Saccharomyces cerevisiae S288C: one gene and its partner. The protein of the gene in region 1 interacts with the protein of each later gene in a pairwise test. Each region holds a gene or a part of one and is shown on either strand. Other genes may lie near its edges.

Evidence for each region. Proteins that work in one complex are often made in the same cells at the same time.
Region 2: the proteins of HXT1 (region 1) and PDR5 interact in binary tests that used the Saccharomyces cerevisiae proteins (3 or more experiments, as listed by UniProt).

The regions. Positions count from the first base shown.
Region 1 is NC_001140.6:288,130-295,841, forward strand, and holds HXT1 (hexose transporter HXT1), read right to left. Parts: upstream 4,497-7,712; coding exon 2,784-4,496; downstream 1-2,783. Other genes in the region: hexose transporter HXT4, read right to left, coding at 1-682; AHT1 (Aht1p), read left to right, coding at 1,013-1,561; hexose transporter HXT5, read right to left, coding at 6,540-7,712. UniProt on the Saccharomyces cerevisiae protein: Low-affinity glucose transporter. HXT1 is as well involved in the transport of mannose.
Region 2 is NC_001147.6:618,330-624,875, reverse strand, and holds PDR5 (ATP-binding cassette multidrug transporter PDR5), read right to left. Parts: upstream 5,037-6,546; coding exon 501-5,036; downstream 1-500. Other genes in the region: SLP1 (Slp1p), read right to left, coding at 1-147. UniProt on the Saccharomyces cerevisiae protein: Active efflux of weakly charged organic compounds of 90 cubic Angstroms to 300 cubic Angstroms surface volume.

The DNA.
Region 1 (7,712 bases):
TACAGTAACCCAAGAAAATACCCAAAGTAATCATAAGTTGGTAACATGAAACCAAAGTACCTCTAATATGCTTTGGAGAGACTTCAGAAATCAACATAGGAGATAAAACGGCAATACCACCGACACCTAAACCAGAGATAATTCTACCAATGAAATATTGGTACCACTTGTTGATTGAGGCAATTTGGATAATGATACCGATAATGTAGATGACAACAACGACAATCAAACCCATTTTACGACCATACATATCACCTAATTTTGCTAAAATAATACCACCAATGGCACAACCAATGTTGAAAATGGAGACAATTAAACCAGTTCTAACCTTAGACAAATAATAAGTACCATCGTGGTGCTTCATACCAAATCTTCTGATAAAATCAGTTTGAGCAACAAAACCAGAAATGGTACCAGTATCCCAACCGAAAACAAAACCACCGAAAGCAACCATTAAACAACAGATGGAAACTGTAACGTAGGCGGAGGCGGGCTTCTTTGGAATTTCAACGTAGTTATTAGATTCTTCGTGATTCTCGTCGAAATCTTTCATGTCATCTCTTTCAGCTTTGTTGGATGGAGTAGACAAAGCGGAATTAGAATCGGATTCAACTGGCGACAAAGCATCAGCTGGAGTATTTTGGACTGCTGTATCCTCTTGATAGGCAGCTTCTTCAGACATTTTTGGCAGATTTTATTGTAAAAGTGTTTCAAAACCAAACCTTGATAAGAGGCTTTGAATATATCTTTTCTTTATGGTTTCTATTACTCATGAAGAGGAATTGAAGTGAATGAATCGAGAATAATGAATAAAACACTGAGTATTTATATAAAATTTTTTCTAGATGACATATTATTCATTCCCCAGTGTTGAAGCTTTTCACCACTAATTGACTTGAAGATTATTTTAGTTGCTTTTCTTACCACCCCACCTTCATAAACTTAAAAATATTATATTAGAATTTGAGTTTTCCTCCGTTGTTTCTTAATCAGAATCGTTAGACGCCGAATAATGGACTGTAAAATCAAAGCAGCTGGAAAAAACTCTGGAATTTTTCATGAAGGTGGCACTAAATCGTCGAAGAGCTTCTTGACCGTTTTTATCCGAAGTGTTTTTCCTCTTTCCCCAAGTTTTCCTGCAGGCGGGGGAATATGGGGCCCCATGGAAAAAAAACCGGGGGGGGTGGGAAAAAAAAAGGGGTCAGAAAAAAAAACTGCTCAGGGAAATATCTTCTTCTCCACAGAAAGAGACGCAGGCCAGGAAAAATGTGGAATATTATATAAACATTGTTTTTCCATTTTGTACGGATTTTTTTGGAAGAAAGCGGATAAACCGAAAGAAAAAACGGGAAATGGTTCCGGTTTGGGCATTGTTTTTCCTATTGGGCAAAAAAAAATCCCGGAACCAGCTGACTCGGATATTTTTCTTCCTTGTTTCCGCTATGCTGCTGCAAGTGACTTTACGAAGGCCAAGCGTTTCTTGGTGGAAATTACTGCAGTGTACTGGGTTTCGTTGGAGGCCCAGCCTTCATCTGCGTCTTGTTTATTCATTCTCATCTGATTATTATATCTTGATCGGTGCAAAAAAATTTTGAGGTACTTAAAATTTATTTTGCATAGAGATATTCGCATAAATGGAAAACCTAAGCTTTTCAGGTACGACTATTTGGCAACATCGTTGAACCTGGCTTTTCGGTCCTAACTTTGCACCATCTAGGATGAGACTATCTTGACTGTTTTACTTTTACGCATCGCTAGAAAATACGTGCGCGTTGCCAAATCAAAATTCCCGCAAATTGATGCGGTAGCGTAGTTCTGTTCCAAAATGAAAGTGAAACAACATAATGTTCCTTCTAGTTTTCGTGTCTGAAAGCTAAACCTCAAAGTTGAAACTAAAGCATGATTCCCCACCTCCTTCCTATTAGTCTTTTTTCCCGTAAAAGTTGGAAAATATCTGGGGTACTTGCGTCAGCTGTTCAGATCTTCTCTTACCGCTGTCGTGTCTTGTCTACAATGTCAGGTTGGCAGCCTAAGTTTTGGATTTAATAACCCTAGGGCTTTTCATTCTTTTATCAATCAGAACATTTACATGAAGAGGGCTGGAATAAAAAAAAAATATTCGGTTCTCCTCCATGCATAATGACGTAGTATTCTTATTGGCGCCAAACATAGTGTCATAATGCTTTTTCAACGATTTTAAAGTAACTCTTAGTGGATTGGAAAGGTCGCCTTTTCGATGGTAGCGTGCATTTTCTCGTCATTTTTTTTTTACTTGTCGTCTTTTCTTTACTGCTTCACCTCTTATCAAGCAAGTGTTTTTCGTGTCTCCCTGTGCCAGTCAGAAAATACATATGATTGGCAACTGTATATCCATTGAGATCGACTCGGTTATCTGTTAATGGAAATTATTGCTAGTAATTATAAATACCTAAAAACAACATCCTAACAGGCTTAAGTAACACTACTAGATGTTGAAGCAGCAGCGTTGTCAATTTCTATTCATTTGACATTTTTCCGAAATCATAAGCGGGCGTTTGAACTATGTATAGCGCCTATGTGGTATTAACCCATACTATATCATATAAAATTTTTCCTCGGAAGAGTGCCAGAATGAAATTTCTTGTTCCTTGGTGAAGGTCAAGAACTAGCAAAGAAAAGAACATCTGTTTATGAATTTGACAAGAATTTTGTTTTAACACCAATATAATATCACCTTTATAAAATTTACTGAGAAATTAAATACTGTATAAGTCATTAAAATATGCATATTGAGCTTGTTTAGTTTATTTCCTGCTAAACAAACTCTTGTAAAATGGTTGGTCATCATGCATTAGGTCATCAGCGTTGTAGTCAGCGCCTCTCTTGGATACTGGAACCCAGGAAGCTGATTTCCATGGTAGAACACCTTCGGCGTACATATCATTAACTTCTTCTAATGATAAACCTTTAGTTTCTGGAACGAAGAAAAAGACGTAAAAGTAAGCGAAAACCATACAGCCCATGAAAACGTAACCGTAGTAGAAGTTGATGGCACCAGTAATAAATGGGGTGAAGAAACTAATCAAGAAACCCCAGATCCAGTTAGCAGCACTGGCAATAGACATACACTTGGATTTGACTCTTAATGGGAAACATTCTGAAATAACAACGTAAGCAATTGGGGCCCAGGTAGTAGCGAAACAGAAAATGTAGAAACATGCGAAAACAATCATACAGTTACCAGCACCCTTTGAAGATGGTTGATCTTGACCGTTTGGCCATAATCTGGTAACACCAACAGAGGCATAGACAACATAACAGCAGACCATACCGACAGCACCCCACATCAAACAGTTACGACGGCCAAAACGGTCAACGGTGTACAGAGAACAACAAGTGGAGAAGAAGTTGACGACACCAAAGACAATAGAAGTTTCAAAAGAGTCACTTAAACCGACAGCCTGGAAAACAATGGTACCGTAGTAGAAGAAATAGTTATCACCAGTTAATTGTTGTAGAGATTGAATCATGATACCCATCATAGTACGTTGAAACATGGCTGGTTTACCAGTGAATAATTCGCCCCAAGATGCAGTACCAGCGGCTCTCATTTCTTCGACACTGGCTTCGATAGTTTCCAACTCATATTGAATGTATGGATGGTCAGGTGGGCATTTGTTAACTTTAGCTAAAGAAGCCCTGGCTTCGTCGATTCTGCCAGCTTCAACCAAATAACGTGGAGATTCAGGAACAAACATCATACCACCAATCATAAATAAGGCCCAGGCGAAACACAAACCTAATGGAACTCTCCATTGGACAGAGTTTGAGTAATTCTTGGTACCAAAATTGGTACAGTAACCTAAGAAAATACCTAAAGTAATCATGACTTGGTAACATGAAACCAAGGTGCCTCTCATTTCACTGGGGGCGACCTCAGATATTAGCATGGGAGATAAAACTGTGATACCACCGACACCTAAACCAGAGATAATTCTACCAATGAAATATTGGTACCACTTGTTGATCGAGGCTATTTGAATAATGATACCGATAGTGTAGATTACTACAACGACAATCAAACCGATTCTACGACCATACATATCACCTAGCTTGGCTAAGACGATACCACCAATGGCACAACCAATGTTAAAAATAGAGACAATTAAACCAGTTCTCACCTTGGACAAGTAATGACTACCGTCGTGGTGCTTCATACCAAATCTTCTTAGAAAATCAGTTTGAGCAACAAAACCAGAAATGGTACCAGTATCCCATCCAAATATGAAACCACCGAAAGCAACCATAACACAACAGATAGAAACCGTTACGTAGACACCTTTTCCGGTGTTTGGAGGGGCAACGGCGGGTTGCACTTGACTTTCACTTAAGTTGTCGTGAAAACTTTCATTTTTACCTTCTGGAGTATTCATGGCCTTTGAACGACCAGATTCCAATTCATATGAGTTGGATGAATTGGATTTCTGAGGAGATATTAGATCGGGAGTTGAATTCATGATTTTACGTATATCAACTAGTTGACGATTATGATATCTTTATAGATTTTAAGGTGGGGAAAGAACATGAGACCCCAGATGGAATTGATTATGGGGACATTGTTGCCTTTATATATAATTTCAATATACTAATTCAAATGATTAAAAACGTGAGGGGGACACGCAACTTCGGGTGTTAAGAAATATTTTGCTACATTAGATAATGGTGGAGTTTCCTGGCTTGTCGGATAAAAGCCATCAAATGTCGCAGCAGCTCATGTTTACGTTTGCTGTCTTCTGCCCACGTCATATGAGTGGTATTCTTCTATCAGCACTTGATGAATATTCTTTTTCTCATATATCTGAAAGACAAAAGATCGGCACGGCAATGCCCTGCAGCATTTCTTCCTAGTTTTTCCGAATTTCCATTACGTATTGGATCTTGTGCGCATATTTGTCAGTCCTTCACGGAAAAAAAAAAAGAGCACTGGGTCACTTCGGAAAAACTTTTGACTCAATGCAACAGTGTCATAATCCTTTGCGCTGTCTCTTTGAAGAAAAATCAGGAGTGCAAGATATCGATTAATTCCTTGGAAGTTATGATGGTTAGTCTTAGTTTAACTCTCTTGAAGAAGGGTTTTTTCAGTTGGTCAACACTCTTTAGAGGTAAAAAAAAAAAAAAAAAAAAAAAAAAGAGAATTCTTCATGTAATTTACCATGATTCTACGTTTTTGCAAGCAAAAATGAAGATAATCCGAGCGCATGCGCAAGTAGTCCCTGCCATGCCGCTTCGGAAAAACTTTCGAAACCAATACTCCTTACATCCGCCTTGAATTTAGGACCTACAATTGTTGTCTCTTCTGCTTGAACCAATAAGCCCTAGAAACCTTACACCCTAATTTGCACAAGAAAACTACGAAAAAATTTTTTCCTCTTTTTTCCGCAGCTCCAATCTCGCCCTGCTATTTTTTTGGTTCGGAGAAAAATAGTCGGTCGATATGAATTGAAGTTTCATTGTGGCCACTCGTTTAGGAATGGAATAACCTCCGCGAATGGAAAAAAAGAACTCGGAATATCAAAAATTCCGGCTCAAAGGAAAAATTTGCTTCAGGAGGGGGGAATTATATTCCAGATGAGACCTGCAAGGATTTCTGTGTGAGGTTTTCTCGGAGGAATAATAGTTTTCCAAAAATTACTTTTGGCAACTACGTGAATATAATTGACTACGGATATCCTTCGAGAAGGCCATAAAAAGAACCGTGACAGGGCCAAACAGAAAAATAATGAAGACAAGTTTGCTTTTTCTCTCACTGTATTTGAGGATCGGAAGCTTTTTGCACTGAAAATATTCTGGGTTAACAAGGTTTAAAGAAGCAAACTGCCACAAAGTATATGAGAGTATAACCGGACGGTACCTATACTTTGAAGTTGGAATAAATACGGGGTAGACAAAAAGGATGTGTTTCTGTATGTCTGATGAGAATGATGTCATCAAAGAACGTAAACAACAGTAACTGTCTATATTCTTGCTTTTTATTATGCGCTGTTACAGCAGGTAGCGGAGTTTTCAGTTCTTTCCCTAGTATGTAGTATGAAGGATAATACGGTAAAAGAACGGGGCTCTTGATTCATCATATAAATTTATTTTCCCCTGTTGAAACCTCGAGTAACCGTCCTCACTGTTTTATTACCAAGGATGAGCTCGAGCAGTTGTAAGAGAGAAGTGGGCAGAAAAGTATAAGTAACAAGAAACGATATACAAGTTCTTGTTGTTAGGCGTAGCAACCCTTTCTCCCCTGGTTTGATCCTACTTAAAATAAAGAAAAAAAACAAAAACGTCATGATGATTTTGATATTATTAGACATACGTAATTTAGTTGAATTAAAGGAATAACAGGCAGCCCTATTAACCACGGACAAAATATCTCTGCATATGATTGCATTATTTGTAAACTATGAATGAACATATGAACGAAAACGATTAATATTAATATTAAAATTTGAAATGGTGCAATGCTGAACATTGCAAGTATGCGAAAATAGTTGATCCTACACTACAAGAGATTATTTTTCTTTAGTGAACATCCTTTTATAAAATGGTCTCGGATCATTTCTAGTAGCGTCTAGGTCATAATCTGTTGTTCTCCTAGATGGTGGGATCCATTTGGTAGACTTCCAAGGTAGCACATTTTCTTCATACATTTCGTTGACTTCTTCTAATGTTAAGCCCTTTGTCTCTGGAACAAAGAAGAACACATAAAAGTATGCGAACACCATACAACCCATAAAGACATAGCCATAATAGAAATTGATTGCTGAAGTAATAAATGGAGTGAAAAAACTGATCAAGAACCCCCAAATCCAGTTACAGGCACTTGCAATCGACATTGCTTTACCACGTACTCTTAAGGGATACGACTCAGAGATAAGGACATAGGCAACGGGGGCCCAAGTGGTAGCGAAACAGAAAATGTAGAAACATGCGAAAACAATCATACAGTTACCAGCACCCTTTGAAGATGGTTGATCTTGACCGTTTGGCCATAATCTGGTAACACCAACAGAGGCATAGACGACATAGCAACAAATCATACCTACACAGCCCCATAACAAACAATTACGACGACCAAAACGATCGACGGTATATAGCGAGAAAAAAGTCGAAACAAAATTAACAACACCCAAAACAATAGCAGTTTCAAATGAATCTTCCAAACCAACAGCCTGGAAAATTGTAGTACCATAGTAAAAGAAGTAATTGTCACCTGTCAGCTGTTGTAAAGATTGAATCATCATACCCATTAGTGTACGTCTGAACATCTGGGGCTTACCAGTAACCAATTCCCCCCAAGAAGCAGAGCCCGCCAATCTCTCAGCTTCAATAGAAGACTGATAGTTCTCCATTTCTAAAGTTACTAAAGGAGAGTCTTCAGTGGTTTTGTTAGCTCTTGCTAAGGACCGCTTGGCCTCTTCAATTTTTCCCACTTCTACCAGATAACGTGGGGATTCAGGAACGAACGTCATACCAACAATCATAAAAATAGACCATGCAAAGCATAAGCCTAATGGTACCCTCCATTGGACAGAGTTTGAGTAATTCTTGGTACCAAAATTAGTACAATATCCCAAAAAGATACCGAAAGTGATCATTAATTGGTAACATGAAACCAGAGTACCACGCAACTGCTTAGGCGACACTTCAGAAATTAGCATAGGCGCCAAAACTGTAATACCACC
Region 2 (6,546 bases), on another chromosome or scaffold:
CACGTTCGTTGTACTTCCAGTCGTGATCACAGTGGTATCATGTAGACCAATCTTCGCATTTTGAGCAGTTTTGTTCCTATCTAATGCAAAAGATCCGATTATACTTACCCACAAAATAAGGCCGTATATGAGAAGACGGTTCGCCATTCGGACAGATAATGATATAATATATCTTATATTTTAACTATATCCATTGCGTCCTTTCTTTTTAACCGTAAGGCACAGTTAAGAAATAATGTTTTCACACTAAATGCTGATGCCTATAAAAAAAAAGTACCGATGAGATAACCTAGGAATAAAATTCTCGGAATTCTTTCGGACATTGAACTTTGATTTATCAGAGCTGGTAAATTCAAGAAAATTGAAATGTAGAAAGCTCGCTGAATTAAGAAAAAAAAAATAAAAACTTATTATTACGCACCTATATGTAGTGATTATGTATGTTTATTAAAAAAGTCCATCTTGGTAAGTTTCTTTTCTTAACCAAATTCAAAATTCTATTATTTCTTGGAGAGTTTACCGTTCTTTTTAGGCACTCTTGCTAACCAGTAGAAAAAGACACCAGCGATATAATTGAATGCAATATAACAGATGAAGATACCATAATTTCTCCATCTCTCACTGTAGAAAGAATTGACATTAGCTAAGTAATCATTGGTTGTAGATATTTGACAGAAACTACAGGTGTCAGTGGCATTTTCATCAGTTAAGTAACCAGTCTTTGCTAGTTGTAAATATGGTTCCATGTACTGCCCACATGTCATACCGGATGGTGGTGTGAATTCTAGCAATTCGTAATCAGCGCATTTGACGTCTACGTTAGCAACACCAACAGCCAACAGAGCCTGAATGAAATAAGTCAAAGGTGAAACCCTGTACATGAATATCCAAAATCTAGGCATGGCACTTGGGGTAGTCATAACACCACAAAAAGACAAAGACATTGTAAACAACAAAGAGGCTAAGTTAGCTGCACTTTCTGCAACTTGGTTGAATGAAATGACAAGCAGACCCATAGAACCAACATAAACGTAGAAAGCACAAGAGAACAACCAAAATAAAGCACCCCTTTCATGCAACTGGCCAGCTGCAGACGCGTTGGAGTAAAATCCAATTGGATAATAGTAGATAAAATAAGCAATAGTACCTGCCAATATATTCCATGGAACTTCCACGAATATTTGAGCGAAGATAAATGAAATCCAAGAAAAAGTCCTTGAGGGGCGTTCCCTGGCCTCATACAAATCTCTTTGCTGGACAAAAGATGGTAGGTATTGTTGTAGAATAGGATTGAAAATAACCGTAAACATGAACACAGCCAACATTTGATTTTGTAAACCCTGTAGCGAGGTTCCTGCTTTGAAGAAAGTGAAACCGATGAACAATTGATTGAAAATAGTTAAAATAAACTTCGACCATAAATAATCTGGAGATCTCCAATATTGCTGGAATAGACGAATACTGACCAATTTTGTTTGATAAATAATTGATTGTGAAAATTCGTGTTTGTCCTCAGCTGCAGTTATCGAACCTTTCTTTGGTAATTCTCTTTCCATCCAATCTAATTCAGATTGAACGGCCCTGTACTCTTCAGAATTCCTCCAAACTTCGTAATAATCTTGATTTGCATGAGAGCCTGGAGCTGCACCAACAACTTCTAGCATCCATTCAGCTGGGTTGGCGTCAGCAGGGCATTTATGAGCACCATGGCTTTCAAAATAATCGATCATAGTTTTACAACCTTCGCCCAAGTCGCCAAAGTAGACAGTCTTACCACCACGTTGCATAAATAGTAAACGATCGAATTCTTGCATCAAAATAGCAGAGGGTTGGTGAATAGTACATAGAATTGCTTGACCATGATTTGCCAACTTTTTCATTAGCTGACAAATAGACCAAGCAGTTTGAGAATCCAAACCAGAAGTAGGTTCATCTAAAAAGACCAACAGTTTTGGTTTGGCAGTTAATTCAACACCAATGGTTAATCTTTTTCTTTGTTCAACGTTTAAACCTTCACCAGCAACACCAACAACAGCATCAGCATATTTTTCCATTTCAAGAATTTTAATAACTTCTTCAACATATCTGTTCTTTTCTTCAATGGAAACTTCAGCTGGTTGACGTAGGTAAGCAGAAAATCTCAATGACTCCCTCACAGTGGCAGTTTTCAAATGCAAATCTTGTTGCTGACAATAACCAATGGATCTTGGGAAAGATTTATCACGGGGAATACCATTGACCAAGATATCACCAGTTATAACACCCATGGTAACCCTTTCGGCCAAACAATCCAGAAGTGTGGTTTTACCAGCACCTGAAGCACCCATTAAAGCTGTTAAAGTACCTGGTTTAACCCAACCATCAACATTGTTCAAAATACGTCTTGTTTCGGCCTTAATCTGAACTTCGTAACAAAGGTTTCTCCAGTGAAATATAGCCTCTGACTTGGATAAACCAATTTCTCCGTAAGTATCGGATTCCTCTTCAGAGCTTTCTTGTAGCATTTTCCTATCGCTGGATAAGTCACTACGTTCCCCAACGTTTTCGGGGTCATTTGCATTCTTTTCAGTTAGTACACCTCTTTTCTTCATTCTTTTAACTATACTGCGTGGGAAAACTAATATTTCACCTTTTTGTTTAGCACCCTCGTTGTATTCACATAAGAATAGATAGACAAAGAAAAAGAAGACGACATAAGCCATACCAATACCGAAACCACGCCATTTGTCTTTGTGGTAGTATTGATAAGTTCCTCTAATGAAATCATCACCCAGAACATAGTCTTGGCCTGGAACAGCTCCAACCACGGTACAAACAGATTCTGTACTAGAAATGTTTGCATACGCAGGACCACGAGGAACATATTCAGCGCAGGGGAATTTTATACCATGAAACTCGTTAATTAACAAAGATTCGAATAAGTAAGCCAACGGATTGATATACCAAATCCATTTAGACCAACGTAGGATCTTCTTCTTAGGAATAGCAAAACCGGTATACATGGATAGAGCCAACAATAACATAGAAGCGGGAACCATAGCTTCTGACAATGTCTTTGTTAAGGAACCAACACATCTAAACAAGTGAGACATGGAGAAAACCGCGACAATGTTTATTAATAAGTAGAAAAAGAATACACCACCATTTCTTCTAAAGTCTACTAAGAAATAGAAGATTATATTGAAGCAAACAGCGATGATTAACTTTGAGGGTATTTCTGATAGAACTGATGCAAAAGCGTCAGCACTTGGATGGTATAACGAATATGTTCTATGTTTTTCAGTGATTGGTCTGGCCTCATATAACGAAAAGATTTCTAACAGAGAAGAAAATGCATTGAATAGAATTGCAAAAAACATAGCAGAACCACGGAAATAGAATGTAGAAGTATCACCCTTTTTCATGATCTTGAAAAACATTGAACCCAAGATTAAAGCCATACTACAGTTACCCAAAATCATAAATAATGTAAACCCGATATTATTTCGCAGTCTCCACATATTTCTGATTAATAGGTATTTAACTTGCATCATGTAGCTGACAGTATAAGGAGAGGAAGGTCTTGCTCTCTTGGACTGCTTAGCAATGTGGGCTTCCTTAATAGCTTCACGGCTTGCTTCATCGTCATTCAATAATCGTTGGTCGACTTCTTTCATTAGCTCTTTGTAATTTGGAGATTTTACCCAGTAATCGTTCATTTCCTTCGGGGTCTGTGGTATATGAATACCTTTTTTTAGCATATCTTTGTTCAGGGTTCTCTCAGAGGGACTTGTAACTGAGGTCAAAAAATCTGCGGTGGTTTGTCTGCTTGGACAAACATACCCCATATCTTCAAAGTACTTCTTGGCCTTATCGGCGGGGCCATAGTAGATCTGATAACCATCATCCAAAACACAGACTTTATTGAACAAGTCGTACGCATCTTGAGAACATTGATAGATGGCCACTGTGGCAGATGTATTGGAAATATCAGCTTGAGTCTTTAAGGCACGAATAAATTCCAAAGCGGTAGCGGAATCCAAACCCCTTGTAGCATTATCCCAGCATTGAAATTTGGATCCACAGATGGAGACTTCAGCAATGGAGACACGCTTCCTTTCACCACCGGAAACACCTCTGACGATGTCGTTACCAACTTTTGTATTCCTTGTATGCGATAAACCGTACGTTGCCATTGCTACTTCCGCCAAATGATTCGCATAACTTTCCCTATCGACACCCTTGATACGGTTCTGTGGGGTTTTCAACCTCGCTACTGTAACCAAAGTTTCGAAGACTGTTAAATGAGGCAGATGTACATCAGCTTCTGCGTTGTAAACAACTTCACCACGAAAATGTTTCTTAATATCATCACCTGAGTAGCCGCTGTAAGAAATTTTAGTATCTGCACCAAGATCAAAACCATGAGTATTTGAAGAGATGGATTTTAATAAAGTAGTACAGCCAGAGCCTGGTCTACCTAAAACGACTAGCAATTCACCTGGGTTTAGGCAACCATCCATTGGTTTCAAGATTTGGAAAGTATTGGTTTCTTTAGAACGTTGAAACTTTCTCAGCCCACTTTTTAGGATTTTGTATGGAATATTAACCACAGTTGACTGATAGGCGACATCTGCGGAAGCACCAGAAGCACTTAAGTTCTTCCAAGCGCAACCTAAGGAATAAGGCTTATAAAAGTCAGGGTCTGCCGCACTTAGGTGAGCCATATTCTTAACCCAGGCGGCACTAGAAAAATTTTCGGAGTTGGGGTCCAATTTTGGGTCATAGCCTGGAGCTTCAGGATCAGAGAATATCGGGTTTACACCTTCCACACCGCTAGAAAATATAGACTGAGCATCACTTTTGTTGGGTGCCGATTGAGTGGAGTTTTGCATACTCTGTGCGGTCAGAGTCCTTGCCAGTTTTTGGATTCGAGCTTCTGTATGCTCATCGAACCCATTATAATTGTGTAGATCAGCAGCGTTTTCAGTAGAAGAAGACGCGGAGGAGTAGCTAGTAACGTCGTTGACGTTATTGTTAAGCTTGGCCTCGGGCATTTTTGTCTAAAGTCTTTCGAACGAGCGGATACGAAAACTTAAAAGGGTCTTTAATTTCTTTTTCGAAAGTTCCTAGTTGCCAATTTATTTATAATTAGAATAACAAAGTCGAGTGATAACTAACACAGTTGTTATATGTTTGCAACTTTGCGTGACTTTTTTCTTTTGGATTTCATTCTAAGGTATGATAATAAAAGCGAACAGCCATAAGGTTATGCACATCACAATTATATATGTATAGGAGAGGCCTTGTTTGTATTGCTCAGATTACGTTCAACAGATATCGTACCACGGCGTAGAAGAGTTCCGCGGAGACATTTCTCTTTTTTTAGCACATTACCATAAGTAGGAATACAGATCTGACCTTTCCACGGAATCACGAGTCCAAAGGGTGCTGAATCGTGATCACGACCCGCGGGTGAGCCCACACTCACCGGAGTCTTAGTAAATCTGAAAATGTTGTGGCACCGCGGCATGAGCGATTCCGCGGAAAGAGAGGGGCAGTCTTAAGTTTCAGTCCACTCGTTCCGTGGGAAGCAATCGACCGAATGGTTCTCCACGGACGTTTTCTCGGCGGCAAGGTTGTGTCGTGATAATCGTTGCATAGATGTGATGGCTTCCTGCAACTTATCCTGTGCTCGAAGGCGCAGAATGCGAACGTTCGCGCTGAGGAACGTTCATGTTCTTTTATTAGTAAGATCATACGTGTGGTGTTGTTTTCCATTGAGTTCCACTCCTGATTGTGTGAAGTGATAAATGTTGTGTACTATGTAAGGGACTGCGCCAACGAGGTGCTGCTTTCTATTATGGCAAATTGTTGCGAGTATGGCTTAATTGTTTATTGTAATAGGTAATTTGATGTTCTTTTTTTTCTTTGATTTGAACTTTTGTTCTCTCTCTCAACTTTTTCTTTTCTTTGTCCTTGTTGATTAGATTGTGACGATAATTTCCTTATAATATCATTGTTGGAATCAAAGAGGAAGACATATTTACGTTAACGAACAAGTTCAGTGAACCATCTAAACATAGAAAGGGGTCCCAGAGAACGCTTCCTTTGTATGATATCTGAAATTTGTCTACTGCATTCAGGCTTATATATATGTGTGTGGTAGCGCCCAACGGAGAACCGTATATGACGGACTTTACTGTGTCACATTTCAGAAAAACAATAAGTGTTTTTCCCTTCCGTAAATAGCACATATTCATTCCTATATCGCCTCTCTGTTTTATGCTCTTTTTTCCCGGGCATTTATTATTACCCGGTATTTCCAAAGATGCGGTTACTGCCCGCGGGTATTGGGCCTCCCTTAATATGCATCGATTTTACTGTTTAAAATCGTACAAAAGATAATATGTGGAAACAACTTTCCTAAGCAGCGAAATACACGTGCAAGAGCAACGTTATATCATTTCGATTTCATTTAATTTGATCTGGCTCGACATTAGTATTTCAAATCGAGGATAAGATTTTTGTAGTGCTCTTTTTTTCTATCTTTTAGCTAAGGTTCCT